Anolis sagrei: one gene and its partner. Each later gene encodes a partner of the first gene's protein in a complex. Links are inferred from orthologs where the notes say so. Each region holds a gene or a part of one and is shown in the gene's direction. Other genes may lie near its edges.

Region 1 (8,034 bases):
TGAGTTCAAAGTGATTTAATCCTTAATGCGGAGGTTAGCAAATGACAACATAGGTACGACATATAACACACAAGGCCACCTTTTCTTCTTCAGCTGGGGAGTGCCACTAGGGCTAAGTTTTTCAAGGACTGCAGTCTCAGCTTAACCATTTCATACAGCATTATCCTACCCTTGTCGATTTATGTATCATATCAATAGAGCTGTTCTATTTAAATGAAACTGCCCAATGTCTGACAGAATTATTTAACACTAATGCATTGCCATCAATTTTCAACAGGCAACCTCAAAGAGAGGCTAAATTATTTTTTAATTCCAAAAAGCAAACCTTGATTTTACCATTTTATATAAGGGACATTGTTTTACTAAGTATATTATGAGGCTTCCATATCCAGATTTTGGTATACATGGAGGTTCTGAAATAAAACCCCAGAGATAGTAAGAGCCCACTGCAATTGTCAGATCTCCATGGCTTGCTAATCACTCCTTTTTTTTCTCCAACCCTTCCCAGGAACCACCCACACCTTCCAAGAGTAGACCTCTGTATCCTATCCACACTTGCATGGAAGTAAATCCATTGGTCCTGGAGGAGCCTACTGCCAGTTTCACCACTACCTGATCATACACACATCTACTCTGAAGCAATTCCCACTGATTCTTCTCCCACTCCAGGTGCATTAATTTATAAGTCACAGCCTGGGCCTTTAGGCAGAATAAAGATGCACCTGCAGTGTAAAATTAATGCAGTTTGACACCATTTTAACCGCCATAGGTGTTTTTTTGTGTGTGTGGGGAGTGACTTGAGAAACTGCAAGTAGCTTCTGGTGTGAGAACTGGCCATCTGCAAGGCTGTTGCCCAGGGGACACCCGGATGTTTTACCATCCAATGGGAGGCTTCTCTCATGTCCCCGCATGAGAAGCTGAAGCTGACAAGGGTTTAACCCACGGTGCCACCGGGGGCTCCATAGGTGAATACTATGCCATAGGTGAAGGCTATAGAATCATGGGAGATTTAGTTTTACAAGTGCTTTGGCCTTTTCTGCCAAAGAATCTGGGGCTTCACCAAACAACAGCTCCCTGGATTCCATAGCATCATCCATGACAGTTAAAGCAGTGTCAAACTGCATTATTTCCATAATATCGAATAGATGCATTCCAAAAGATGCTTGTAACCTCCCCCCTACTCCACCCACCCAACAAATCAGGAGGCACAACCCTGTCAGTCTGGAAAATGAGTCTGCAAAGGGCTCTTGTAGTACCTTTAAGACTAAGGCTGGATCTACACTACAATATAATCCACATTGTCTGCTTTGAACTGGATTATATAGGGGTCCTTCCATCCTGCCCCTTTATCCCAGGATCTGATCCCAGATTATCTGATTATCTCAGGATACCTGGCAGCGGGGACTCGTATATTCCAGTTTAAAGCAGATAATCTGAGATCAGATCCGGGGATAAGGGCAGTGTGAAAGGGCCATAAATCTTCACTGCCATGTAATCCAGTTCAAATCAGATAATTATCTCCACTTTAAAAGCAAATGTTTCAAATCCTCTCGCATCAGACAGTAGGGTAAAGTTTCCTATTGTTGTCTTACTGCACTGCCCCAAAGGCCTGGTCCCACAGCCAAGTTTTTACCATCTTTCTGAAGGACAGGAGGGAGGGGGCTGATCTAATCTCACCAGGGAGAGATTTTCATAGCCGAGGGGCAATCACTGAGAAGGCCCTCTCTCTCTCTTGTCCCCACCAATCTCAACAGTGACAGGACCCAGAGCAGGCCCTCCCTGGAAGATCTTAGTCTCCGGATGGTTCACAGAGGGAGAAAATCCCACAATATCTGCTTTGAACTGGGTTATCTGAATCCACACTGCCATAAATTCCAGTTTAAAGCAGAAAATGTGGGATTTTATACAGCTGCGTGGCATTGGTCTCAGATAACCCAGTTCAAAGGAGATAGATACTGTGAGATTTTTGCCTTGATATTCTGGGTTATAGGGCTGTGTGGAAGGTCCCTTATTCTCTATACCAGGCATGGACAAACTTGGGCCTTTTTCCAGGTGTTTTGGACTCCCAGCTTCCACAATCCCTAACAGTGGCTGTTAGGAATTATGGGTGAAGTCCAAAACACCTGGAAAAAGGCCCAAGTTTGCCCATGCCTGGCTGTTAGTGATTGTGGAAATGGGAGTCCAAAAGACCTGGTGGGAGGGCCCAAATTTGCTCAGGCCTGTGCCACACTGTAGAATGGCGCCACTTTCACCAAAATGACTCAGTGCTACGGACTTTTGGACTTCCAATTCTCACAATCCCTAACAGTCTATGGAATTATGGGAGTTGAAGTCCAAAACACCTGGAAAAAGGCCCAAGTTTGCCCATGCCTGGCTGTTAGTGATTGTGGAAATTGGGAGTCCAAAAGACCTGGCGGGAGGGGCCCAAGTTTGCTCAGGCCTGTGCCACACTGTAGAATGGCGTCACTTTCACCGAAATGACTCAATGCTATGGAGAACGGAGAGTTGCAGTTTGACAAACACTGCCGGTGCCTCACCGAACTGCAACTCCAGAGCATTGAGCCACGGGCCAGGCGGCATCCATGCCCCTTTTACCAGAGGTCATACTTACTTACCTACTTTACTTAGGCAATCCCTCGTTGGACAAGTAGGATAGTCTTCCAGGATCAATATTCTTGTGACTGTGGAGCCCTATTCTTGACCTGTACCTTCTCCCTCAGTGAGGGCATTGGTTTCCAGGTGGAAGGCAGTCTTGGTCGGGGTTGGCTTGATGCATCCTCCTCTTGGAACGTTTCTGTCTTTCACCCTCCATTTGTGCCTCTTTAAATTCTGCAGCACTGCTGGTCACAGCTGACCTCCAGCTGGAGCGCTCAAGGGCCAGGGCTTCCCAGCTCTCAGTGTCTATGCCAGAATTTTTAAGGTTGGCTTTGTGGCCGAAGCCTACCGGACTCACCACGCGTGGCCTTTCCTCCGGACCTCCCAGCGACCCCAAACGCCGCCATCTTCAGGCCCAACCGCTTCCTTCGGCGGAGGACCCTGAAGCCTGCCTGCCTGCCTGCCTACCGCCGCCATGATGCTTATTTGCTTCCCATGAGCGGGAGGCGGAGGAAGAAGAGGAGGCGGAGGCGGCGGCAGCAGCGGTGGGGGGAGCCTGTTCTCCCGTCCGGCCCGCGGCAGGAAACAAAGAGCCAGGCAGGCAGCGGAGACGAGACGGGGATGCGGCAGCCACAGGTACGGAGCGAGGAGGACGAGAAGGGGGCGGATGGAGGGAGCAGGAACTAGGGGAGATGAGAAAAAGCTCTCTCCTCTCTGAGGGACGGTTGGTCGGAGGACGAGGAGGAGGACGGGGGCGCCTCTGAGGAGGCCCTGAGGGAGATGAAGCGCCCCTGAGGGGGAAACGAGAGCGTGGGCGTCACCTCCTTCTCAGGGAAGGAAGAAAGGAGAACCTAAACCAGTCAGGCGGCAAGATGGAGAAGCCTGAGCCAGGCCTCAGGGTGGCTTGGTTGCTTTCTTGGCACAAAAGGCCCGCTTCTGTTAGGGTGAAGGCCATTGGGCCTACGAAGAGGAGCTCACACACACATATATATCAGGGCCTGGGCGAACTTGGGCCTTCCTGCAGGTGTTTTGGACTACAACTCCCACAATTCCTCACGGCCTCAGGCCCTTTCCTTTGCCCCCTCAGCCGCTTAAGCCGCTTAAGCGGCTGAGGGGGCAAAGGAAAGGGCCTGAGGCCGTGAGGAATTGTGGGAGTTGTAGTCCAAAACACCTGGAGGGAAGGCCCAAGTTCGCCCAGGCCCTGATAGGCGTTTGTTGTTGTTGTTGTGTTGTGGTAGTGGCGCGTGGGCCTAGCTGCGGCTGAGCCTTCCTGGAAGCCGCGGCGAGGCTCCGAAGGAAGTGACGTCCTCGGTCCTAAGTGCTTGTTGACAAGAGCCGGGCTTGAGGGGGGCGGGAGAGGGGGCGAGGAGGCGGAAGGCAGGCAGGCAAGAGCAAGGCAGGCAGGCAGGCCGGCTCGGATCCCTGCCCTGGGAGCCTGCGGACCCACCCGCCCTGGAGCCCAGAGCCTCTCCTTTCCCCCGAAGCCCCTCCGAAGGAAGCCCGAGGTCTCAGGTATCGCCTCATCTGGAAAAGAAAGGAAACTTGCGCCAGGCAGCTGCTTCTCTTTTCCCTTCCTTTCCCTCCCATTCCCTCCCTCCTCCCCCATTGCCTCGATTTCAGTAAGCTTTGTTGTCATTGCTCTGCACAAAAGCCCTTGCTCCCTTCCTTCCTTCCTTGCTTGCTTCCTCCGTGGGAAAACAAAAAACCTGTATTTCGTGATGGGAGTCAAGCTTAGCCTAGGCTGCTGCTGCTGCTCGCAGGCCCAGCCACAATAGGCAGCCTGTGTCTGAAATAGAAAGGCAAGAGCGTTAGCTGAGGGGGTGATTGGCAGCCCTGCTGGCCAATGGAAAAGGAGATAGGGGGCAGGGATGTATGCCGTGCAGGTAGGTGGCTGGGCCACAGAGGCTGGGGGACACGCACAGATAGGGGTAAACAGGAGGATTAGGAGGCAGAGCTCTGCGGGCTAGGTACAAAAGCAAGTCTGTTCGGTATGTTTTTGCATAAAGGATAGCATTAAGCTGCTAAAGCTTTGCTAGCCATTCAGAATAAAGGGGAGACTTTATAGCATATATATTGTAAGTATATGCTTACAATATGCTTATAGGGGGTTGGACTGGATGGCCCATGAGGTCTCTTCCAACTCTTTGATTCTATGATTCTAAGTTTCAAGGTTCTCAAAAAATTCTTAATCAGCTATGTTTATTGAAGTTATGTGTGTGTTTTAATGTGAGTTATCAATAAAAGGTATTCTTTATTATATTTATACCCTGCTTTATCTCCCCAGAAGGGGACTCAAAGCAGCTTAGCATAATAATAATAATATATATAAATAAAAATGTAATCAGGCACATCAAATCACTCTCAACAAAAGATTCCAAGGGAACTCAAAGCAGCTTAGCATAATAATAATATATATAAATAAAAATGTAATCAGGCACATCAAATCACTCTCAACAAAAGATTCCTCCCAGACACTTCCAAGCCATTAAATGCTAATCAAGGTGGTCAGTTGAAACATTCACACCTAGTTCCAGCAGACAAAAGTTCTTTGTCTCACCCTGGTCATTCCACAGATATATAAACCCATTTTCCTACTTCCAACAGACCTCACTACCTCTGAGGATGCTTGCCATAGATGCAGGCGAAACGTCAGGAGAAAATGCCTCTAGAACATGGCCATATAGCCTGGAAAAACCTACAACAACCCAATGTAATGTTAGTTTGTGGGATTAACATAACTCAAAAACCACTGGGCGAATTGACACCAAATTTGGATGCAAGTCACCTATCAGGACAACAAGTGAGCATCACATATAAAACACTGAAAAACGCAGCAGAAGAGACTTAAAAAGCCAAAAAAACAAAACAAAAATACATTACAACGCACGCATAAAACCACACATATATATGCAAACATACATATGCACAAACATACACACACACATACACACAAAACACATATAGACAGACTGGGTCACGGCAACGCGTAGCAGGGGACAGCTAATAATAATAATAATCCGGCATATAGCTCTTGTTTGCTGTGACACACTGTGATTTTGTGTCAGTAAAATATAATAATAATAATTGACAATAAACATTGACAAAATCGCAATCTCTCAACTGCAAAAGGCCACCTTACTTGGATCTGCGCGCATCATTTGAAAATACATCACAAAGTCCTAGACGCTTAGGAAGCATTCAACTTGTGATTTGTGATACGAAATCCAGCATATAGATTTCATTTGCTGTGACATACTGTGTTATTGTGTCAGTAAAATAATAATAATAATAATGCACACATTATTCGCCAATACATCACACAGTCCTAGACACTTGGGAAGTGTCTGACGTGTGATCAAATACAAAAGCCAGCATACTGATCTTGTGCTGTGTACTTATCTTGTTATGTATTAAATAATAATAAAATGAGGATTTAAATATCGAACTGCAAAGACTCTGGCCCAAGCCAGTAAAGGAGGTCCCAGTGGTGATCGGCACACTGGGTGCAGTGCGTAAAGAGCTTGGCCTGCACTTAAAAACAATAGGCGCTGACAAAATTATCATCTGTCAGCTGCAAAAGGCCACCCTACTTATATCATCATGTATTATTCACTAATATATCACACAGTCCTAGACACTTGGGAAGTGTCCGACGTGTGATCAAATACAAAAGCCAACATTTGCTGTATACTGATCATCTTATGTATCAAATATTAATAACAATATGAGGATTTGAAGATCAAACTGCAAAGACTCTGGCACAAGCCAGTAAAGGTAGTCCCAGTAGTGACCAGCACACTGGGTACAGTGCCTAAAGACGTTGGCCTGGACTTAAAAACCATTGGCGCTGACAAAATCACCATCTGTCATCTGCAAAAGGCCACTCTACTTGGATCAGCACACATTATTCGCCGATACATCACATAGTCCTAGACACTTGGGAAGTGTCCAACGTGTGATCCAGTAGAACAGCCAGCACAGTGATCCTGTTTGTTGTGTACTAATCTTTTTGTGTATCAAGTAATAATAATAATAACAACAAAAACAACAACTTTATTTGTATCCTGCCCCTCTCAGGGATTCAGGGGGGCTTACAACAAAAATACAATACACATAGTAATAATAGCAATTGAAACAACACAAAAAACATAGAAGCATCAGCACAGCCATTTAGAATATACAAATACATGAATATTAAAACAGGATTAAATATAAATAGTATTTTTAAAATCACAGTTAAAAAACATTAAAACACATTCGAAGTAAAAATTTATTGAAAAATTGGCTATGGGCCATACCATAAAATTAAAAATATTATATGGGAAACGAGTGCTAACAGTGTAGACTTAGAATTATTTTTGACTAACCAATCTTTTGTCCGTTATATCTATTCATAAAAGTGCTTTTTTAAAATATAAAAATTATTTACAATTTTCTTTCTTTTCTTTTCTTTTTTTGACGCAAAACAAGGGAGAAACAGTGGATTCCATTATTTGGAACAAAATGCTGTAATATCTTAGTACTTTCGGGACTTTCAGAATTTTCTAAATAAGATTGTGAAAAGAATATTATTGAGAACTAGACAAAAATAAGGTATTCACCTAATTATGTTTAACAAATTCATCCCAGAGAAAATATTTGAATTGTGTTCCAAACAGTTAAAGGTTTCTGCAGATTTACATGTGTCTTGGGCTATTTTCCTATATGTATTTTATATGTAATAGTAACAGATATAACATTCAAAGGGATTAAAGAATACCTATAGTGATTATTTGGTTCAAATATGAAGGTTTGCATGTATTGACTGCCAATGTTATTGTATCTTGCATTTTTTAATCCGTTAGAAGTTCCCAGAATTATATCACAATTTTTGTTGGGGTAATTTTACTTGTTCTAGGCTCTAGAGGTGCTGCTAGGAATGAAGTCTCCTCTGTGAGGTTTATTCACACTGTTGCTGAAATGGGCCCAGCTGCATATAAATTAAAACTGTATCCCCCTTTTCACCTAAACCATTGGATAAATTCATTTTTTCTAAGGAGACAAATGTACATCACTTTCATGTGAACTCCTGAGTACAGTCTTGATAAGTTCAAGCTATATGGGGTGTTTGAATAATTGAGGAAGAACTGAAATATAAAAATAAATGCATGGACTAGTATATATTTTTAGTATTTTCACACCTCCATTTTCATCATTATATTCTCTGGATTGATGAACTATATTTTTAGTAAACATATTGTAATGGTAGCTAAAAATGCCAATGTTGCCTTCATCCTGTGAAAAAACAATGCTTGTCATCGGGGTTGGGAAGAACTTCTCTAAAAGCACTGTTTTGATGTTCATATACTACAAAGAATGAGACAGTTCAGGATGTGGGTTGTGATAGCATGCTCCAGCTAGTATTTGTGCCCAGAGTTGTTGTCTGCTTATTCTGATTTT
Region 2 (8,034 bases), on another chromosome or scaffold:
CAGCATTTGAGAGTTGCTATATTCAACATGGGAGTACATTTTGCTATTTGTATCACCAACCTCAGTATATTTACTCCTCCACTAAGTACTCTCACTTTGGTATAACATAAGATTCATGCTACCAGTGGGTTTGTTTTGTGTGTGTGTCAGGAGCAGCTTGAGAAACACTTCTGGTTTCTCAAGCTGCCCAGAGGACACCCAGATGTTTTGATGACAGAGGGAGCTCTTCCGTGCTCCCCCCGGATTCGAACCTGCGACCTGTCAGTCTTCAGTCCTGCTGGCACAAGGGTTTAACCCATTGCGCCACCAGGGACTCCTACCAGTAATTATAAATGTTACCAGTATTTATAAATTGAGTGGAATTATTCACATCCAATTAAACTGCTGCCTACAATACAACAAGCAATGGGTGTGTGGCATAGAAAACCCTTATACTAAATCAGGGGTCCTCAAACTTTTCAAACAGGTCATAGTCCCTCAAACTGTTGGAGGGCCGGATTATAATTTGGAAAAAAAGAATTAATTCCTATGCACACTGCACATACCTTATTTGTGGTGCAAAAACACTTAAAAACAATACAATAATTAAAATGAAGAACAATTTTAACAAATATAATCTTATTAGTATTTCAATAGGAAGTGTGGGCCTGCTTTTGGCTGATGAGATAGGATTGTTGTTGTTGTTGTTGTTGTTGTTGTGTGCTTTCAAGTCATTTCAGACTTAAGTTGACCCTGAGCGAGGGCCGGGTAAAAGACCTTGGAGGGCCGCATCCGGCCCCCAGGCCTTAGTTTGAGGACCCCTGTACTAAATAATGCAATGCCTATTTAAGACTATGGTGCACCAATTTTTTGTGCTACTCTGGCCACGCTATAACTAAAAAGTCATACAATTTGTAAAGAACACTCAATACTATTTACAGCAAATTCCTACAAGATATGAAGAAACTTGAAAGCAATTTAGAAAACTAGTAAGTTGTTAACGTGTTCTCATCTACCTTGGAGCCAATGAAACATAAATTGAACAGATGGAGCCTCCACAGGTTAACCCACAAAGAAGTTTCACTTGCCTCATTTCTACATTTCAGTTTTCTGGATAGGAAACACTCACTTTTACAGAAACATGGCTGTGAGTGGATCTAGGAGTCAAAGCAAGGGAGAAGCTCACCCCACTCATCTCGGCAAAGCTTTACATGCCTGGCTAGGACTAAAGGGATGAAAGAAAGGCCAACAAGTGGGTGACTCCTAGACACTCTCTTGTCTCTCTGGTGGATCAGAGACAAAAACAAACAATGGGAGATAAGCAGGAAGGAAAGGAAGCGGAAATCAAGGGGTGCATCTACACTGTAGAATTCATACAGTTTGACACCACTTTAATTGCCATGGATCGATGCTATATTATCATGGAATTTGCTGAGGCACCAGCACTCTTGGCAGAGAAGGCTAAAGACCTTGTAAAAGGTAGGTAAAATGGTCTCAAACAACATTGATTCGGCAGTGTGGATGTAACCAAGGTCTGGACCAACAGCCCTGGAAACCTGAGCAGTGAGAAAGAGCATGGCTCAGGCTGAGGGCATGGGATGAAGAATGCCACAAACCAGGCCGAAGTTACCATGGAATAGAGGAGCAAAGGAAAGAAAGAAGAGGTGCACCTATACCAGGTATGGGCAAACTTGGGCCCTCTGGGTGTTTTGGACTTCAACTCCCATAATTCCTGGGAGTTGAAGTCCAAAACAGCCTGAGGGGCCAAATTTGCCCAAAGCTGACTTATACTGTAGAACAAATGCACTTTTGCACCACTTTAACCACCTTGGCTCAGGGCTATAATATTGAGGGGATATGATTTTTGGAAAGTCTTTAGACTTCTCTGCCAAAGAGGCTGCATGCCTCAGCAAACTAGAACTCCAAAATCCCACAGCATTGAGCCACTACTTATTTATTTATCATATTTGTATACCGCCCTTCTCAGTCCGAAGGCGACTCAGGGCGGTTCGTAGTTGGCAACATTTGATGCCTCAACAAATAAACAATCATAAAATACTGTTAAAAACATTCATATAAAATATAAAGTATAAAAACCATAGAAAGCCATAAAAACATTATCATGAGCATCTCCTTGTTAAAATTGTTATTTAGTTACTTCGTCAGGTCATTCCATGATTTTATATAATTACGCTGGATTAGCAAAAGCCTCCTCAAAAAGCCAGGTTTTAACCTTTCTTCGGAAAGTCAGGAGGGAGGGGGCCACTCTTATATCCCTGGGAAGGGTGTTCTGCAGTCGAGGGGCCACCACTGAGAAGGCCATGTCTCTTGTCCCTGCCAAATGCATCTGTGAGGGAGGCGGGGCCGAGAGCAGGGCCTCCCCAGATGATCTTAGTGACCTAGAAGGGTCATAAGGAGTTAGGTAAGCTGGTCCGGAACTGTTTAGGGCTTTATGGGCTAAATCCAGCATTTAAAGTGGTATCAAACTGCAGTAATTCAACAATATAGATCAGGCATGGGCAAAAGTCGTCCCTCCAGGTGTTTTGGACTTGGAACTCCCACAATTCCTAACAGCAGGTCAAAGTTTGCCCATGTATGGTATAGAAGATGGGCCCCAAGCGTGGAGCAATCACACTGGAAGGCAAGGCATGTCTGGGGCCGAAGGGAGGAAAGGAACCAGGCTCAGGCTGTTATGGGAGGCGTGAGCGAGGGAAGGAGGGAAGGATGAAGGGAACTTCTTTCCACCGCTTTAAACGCCCTGGCTCAATGCTATGGGATCCTGGGAGTTGTAGTTTGGTGAGGAAGGGGTAAGGAGGGAAGGGAGAGAGGGCGGGAGGAGAGGGCCCGGTGCCACCGAGCAGGCCTGCCCCTTCGCCCTCCCCGGCACTGAGGAGGCAAGAGTTCCCTCAGAGGGTGCGCCACGCTCCAGACAAGCCCACCACCACAGAGGATGATGGCGGCGGCGGCTTTCCTTCACCTTCTCCGCGAACCCGTCCGGGCTTGGCTCCGTCTCCAGGCCGCCTCTTCCTCCTCCTCCTCCCTGCCTCCGTTCGCGGACACCAGGCCCGCCTCGATCCCAGCCGGCCTGGCTTGCCTTCACGAAAAGGGCAGATGGCGGGAACCAGATCGGCCGCGCCACCGTCCTCCTGACGCCAGCACGCAACGTAAACACGCACGAGAGGGGGGCGGGACCGCGGACAGGACTGGATAGGGAGGCCCCTACGTCATCACGCCGACGGCCTGGAAATCGACTCCTGCCATTCCTGCGCATGCGCACTGTTTCCCTCTGTGGTTTCGAGTTCTGGCGACGCATGCGCCTTCTCGCTCTCCTCGGGCCCAACGCTTATGCCCGCCGAGAGGTCAGAGGTCGCGGCAGTGGCGACGGCGGCAGATCCATCATGGCGGCGCCTGAGGTAGAAGCGGCTTCCTGAGCTCCCGCGAAGGACTCCCGACCATGCACAGCTTGGCCACGACCGCGGTAAGGCCGGGCCGGGTTCGCGGGGCATGGTTTTCCTCGGCAGGGCGGTCAGGAAGCCCGCTGAGGGGCTGAGAAAGGTCTGGTTTCATTGGCCGGCGGAATGAGGGGAGGGGGCGGCAGAGGCTTGTTTTCCCGCCAAATTGCTCTCCTTCAGAAACGACGGGTCCTCCTTAGTTACTCGTGCAGCTCCCTTCCGCTTCCCTGAGAGAGGACCTTCGGCCCAAAGCGGCAGCAGCAGCAGCATGGCGGCAAAGAAGGCGCCTGCAAGGAGGCGGGGCCGGGAGCCTGTTTCCCCCCCCCCCCCCCCCCCCAATGCGCGGATTCATCGTTTATGGTGGCTGATGCGTAAAAAATGGCCCCGGAGTTGAACATAGAAGCATGAAAGTGGTAGTTTTACGAGGTCTCCAGCCTTCTCTGCCAAAGAGTGCTGCTGCCTCACCAAACTACAGCTCCCAGGATTCCTTAGTATGGAGGCAAGACAGTTCCAGGGGCATTCATTCTACAGTGTGGATTCGATTTATTTATTTACTATCATTATATTTCTACTCTGCTCTATCATACCCCGAAGTGGACTCGGCATACAGTTTTGGCAATTTCATTGCCACATTGCACAGATATATATATATATATATATATATATACACATATAACATCACATTAAGCATAAGATCATACATACACACACACAATTAAATGTATTCTCGAAGGCATTCATGACCAGTTAAAGCATGCGATGCAGTGTATTCTAGCATTCCAGAATAATATTTTCCCTAGCATGTGGCATTGGAATCCTGTTCCTAAGTGAGAGCAAATGCTGCAGAATGGAAGGAGGCTTATTTGAGCTTGTAAAGACCTTAAATCAGCAGCGCTCTAGCCAGAGGGGAGGGTTAGGGGTTAACACCCCCTCCCAAAATTTCAGGTTAAAAAAAGATGAATTTTAACTGGTTAACCAAATTCCCATGCTAAGTCTATGAGAAGCAAAAACTAAATGAGTGCCTCCAGAATTTCAAGCACTACTTCAAGCAAATTTTGACAATTTGTTTACACTCATAACTTGCAGCAGTAGCCACGATGGCTCACCCATAACTGGCAGGCAAAGCCTAATGTATTGAGTGCGGGTTGGATTTGAAGGCCCTCATGAAGGAGACCATACTTGGTGGGGACGGTTGACAGGGGCGGAGCTGCAGGCTATTGCTGTGTTCTTTGCTTCGGCATGAGGTAGGAGGCAGGTTCCTAATGGGGAATTAGGCCTTTCACTCGTTGCTTCCACCCTCCCCTTTTCCAGTTAGTAGGTTCCCATTGCTGCGCCTATATAGAGCTCGTTTTCAACTCTTAAACGTTTGAAAACATACATAAGAAAAACAGTGAGGCAAGAAAGACTGACTGGACTTGTACTCTTGAGTGTCCACTAAAGTTTATCAATGGAGCCTGCTTTCTATCAAAGTATATTGACATAGCTTTCAAGTGTTTCCAACAGACGCTATGATATTCTTTTGTAGCTATAAATTACCAATTAATAGTCATTTTCAGTTATTTTAAGACTTGAAACTCTGTAACTAAAATAGAAAACTGATTTAATTAAGTTTATATAAAATATAGAATGAACCATACTATTTAAATTATTTTGTGTTATGGAACTACTCTTCATGATTCGCTTAAAAAGGTTTCAACACCCACCCACCACCCACCCCCAATTTTCTGGCTATGGCCCTGTATATCATTCATGGGCAAACTCAAGCCCTCCGGACATTTTGGTTTCAACTCGCACAATTCCTAACAGCCTGTGGGAGTTGAAGTCCAAAACACCTGGAACGCTGAAGTCTGCTCATGCCCGAAAGAGTTAATTTAGTTTGACACCACTTTAACTGCTATATTTCAATCCTATGGAACTCTGGGAGTTATAGCTTTACAAGGTCTTTTATCCTCCTCTGTCAAAGAGTACTGGTGCCGCCCCAGTATAATTCTACAGTATAAATGTGCCCTAAAGCAAATTCTAAAGCATCAGTAGCATCACTCATAAGTTTTAAATTCTTTAGAAATAACCAGAGATGGAAATGATGCTTTAAAAAATATGGTAGTAGTGGTAAGAAAAGACAGCCAGAGATGCAGGAACCTTGTTCTCAAAGGTTACAGTTGGAAGTTCCCTCTCCAAAAACCAGAATTAAGGAGTCCACCTTAAGTCAGCTTTCCTTTACTATTTTGTATTTACTTCACTTTATTGCCATATTATACTCTCCCCCCCATCCTGTTGGATACTTCACATTGCATTTGTTTCTCCTTGTTGATTTGTGTTAGGTTCTAACAGGTTTTCTATCCTTACTTTTAGAAATTACCGTGTTTCAAATTTAGTGATTTTTAATATCTGTTGTTCAAGACATCATAAGACTTAAGAAATAAAACCAGAGAGATTCCTTTGCAGTTCAACTGTATTTGTAAGAAAGAAAAAGAAATAAATTCAGTTTGATTTATTTTCTGAATCAGCTCAATATCTGTATAGGTTGACTGGAGATATGAACTTAGAAAAACTTGTAAAAATGTGGGGGGACAATTTTTCAGGGAGCAGAATGAAACAAATATAAAACATTTTCGTATAGATCTATAAATATTCAAGACAACATGTTCATATATCTAATTTCTAAAAAATGTACATCCAGTAGACTTAGTTAAGAATATTTACAATAGTGCACTTTAGAGTGCAGTTCTAGAGACAGGTGTTAGTACACTAGCCATTGGCTATAAACCTGCAGTTAATTTCCAGGAAAGAAATACTTATAACTAATGGGCATAAATAGCATGCTGGTTGTTAGCCATTAGAAATAGAAACCTGGCTCTGCCACATTACATTAGCCTGAGAAGTATTGAAGTATAGTATCAAAAGATACTACTGTAAAAGTAGTGGTACGACACCATCTGTAAAAAGCCTTCCCAGGACCCTCTGGATTTTAACAACTATAGACCAGTATTGAATTTTCCTTCTTTGGGCAGGTGATTGACAGGGCTACTAACTTCAGATAGTCTTGGCTGACATTTCAAGCATTGGCATGGGGAGTGTATCCCTGTTGATGGTTTTGTTTGTTTTATGGACCTCTTAGTGGCATTCGATACCATCAACCATTATATCCTTTGGGAATGCCTGAGGGCTTTAGGAACAGAGGCACTGTGCTTCAGTGGTTTCAGTCTTGCCTCGTCATGCCTCTCACATAGGTTCCAGATGGTGGTGCTTGGGCACAGCTGATATTCGGGAAAGAAGCTCTTAAGTGGCACCCCACAAGGTGCCATTCGATCCCCAAAGCTGTAACGTACAAATAAAGCCACTAATAGAAATCATCAGAGACATAGGGCAGGGTTCTCTCTGTGTATTTATGGCACTTCTTTAAGCCTTCAAAAATAGCATTAATTAATCTTCTGAATGAATACCTTGAGGGGGCAGTGGGCTGTATGAGGGTTGGAGGGGAAGCAAGGCATCTCTTAACCAAGACATTTTCATCAGTGCCCCCAAATTGTAGAATGGCATGGTTTTTATTTTTGCTACTCATAAGAAATAAAACCAGGGAGATTCCTTTGCAGTTCAACTGTATTTGTAAGAAAGAAAAAGAAATAAATTCAGTTTGATTTATTTTCTGAATCAGCTCAATATCTGCTTTGAAAATAAAACTAAGAATGGATTTTATGTGAAAAAGGCAGTGAACTCATTTCCCTACTGGAAGTATTATTGATCTGTAGTAGTTCAACTGGAGGTTTATCTTGGAAAGTAGGTCACTGAAGTGCATGCAGGTAGGTGGCTCCATGTCTGAGTCACCAGGGTTTGTCTGCCTCAACCCTCAAATGCTCTTCCATCTAGCAGTGATTTGTGAACCTCACAACTTCGTTAGAAACAAAAAATAAAACGTGACCTTTTGTTGTCGGCTGGTCATTATTAACAAAGGTTCTGTTAATGTTTAAGTGAAGCAACTAAAAGTTCTTGAACTGGATCTCTCTTGCGGTCTTTTCCAACTCTGTGATTCTAAGCAAAGGTTTTCTTGAATTGGATGTCCCGAGTCTCTGAGGTGCCTAAGGTATTGAAGTAAGAGGATGTACAAAACTCGGACAAAGTGACTTTTGATCTTGGCCCAGGAGGGCCCTGAAAGCATCCCAGGATAAGCATATATCACATTGTCATGTGAAATGAGAATCTCAAGGCCACGAGGGGACTTACTTCCCATATGTATACACTAGAACTGCACAAGCAGAATTTTCATTTGGCAACTGAATTAATTCCCTTCCAGAAGTCTATGTTAATCTGCTTTCATCTTCTCTCTGTTTCAAGGATACAATCCTGTGCATACTGATGTTAAAGTTAGCTTCATTAAAGTAATTGAGAATTAAATCTCATCCATATTTACTTGGAATTGTTTGCTTCTTGCTCATCTCATTTTTTGTTTTTGTTTTTTGTTTGTTTGTTTTGGTTAAGTCCTTTTAATTATTTGTCATTGTGATTCGACGGGAAGAAGAAGAAAAAGAGACCCTTGCTTATATCATTTCTGTCTCTTTATAGCCTGTGCCAACGGCACTTGCTCAGGTTGATCGAGAGAAAATAT

The links. Proteins that work in one complex are often made in the same cells at the same time.
Region 2: CNOT6 (region 1) and CNOT9 share a complex: the UniProt entries of both Homo sapiens proteins name them as parts of the CCR4-NOT complex. The link is inferred for Anolis sagrei from reciprocal best matches to the Homo sapiens genes CNOT6 and CNOT9.

Annotation. Positions count from the first base shown.
Region 1 is NC_090022.1:87,483,198-87,491,231, reverse strand, and holds the start of CNOT6 (CCR4-NOT transcription complex subunit 6), read left to right. Parts: upstream 1-3,131; 5' UTR 3,132-3,231; intron 3,232-3,989; exon of another isoform or gene 3,990-4,107; intron 4,108-8,034. UniProt on the Homo sapiens protein: Poly(A) nuclease with 3'-5' RNase activity.
Region 2 is NC_090021.1:229,043,012-229,051,045, forward strand, and holds the start of CNOT9 (CCR4-NOT transcription complex subunit 9), read left to right. Parts: upstream 1-3,367; 5' UTR 3,368-3,433; coding exon 3,434-3,457; intron 3,458-7,991; coding exon 7,992-8,034. Other genes in the region: USP37 (ubiquitin carboxyl-terminal hydrolase 37), read right to left, coding at 2,957-3,292. UniProt on the Homo sapiens protein: Component of the CCR4-NOT complex which is one of the major cellular mRNA deadenylases and is linked to various cellular processes including bulk mRNA degradation, miRNA-mediated repression, translational repression during translational initiation and general transcription regulation.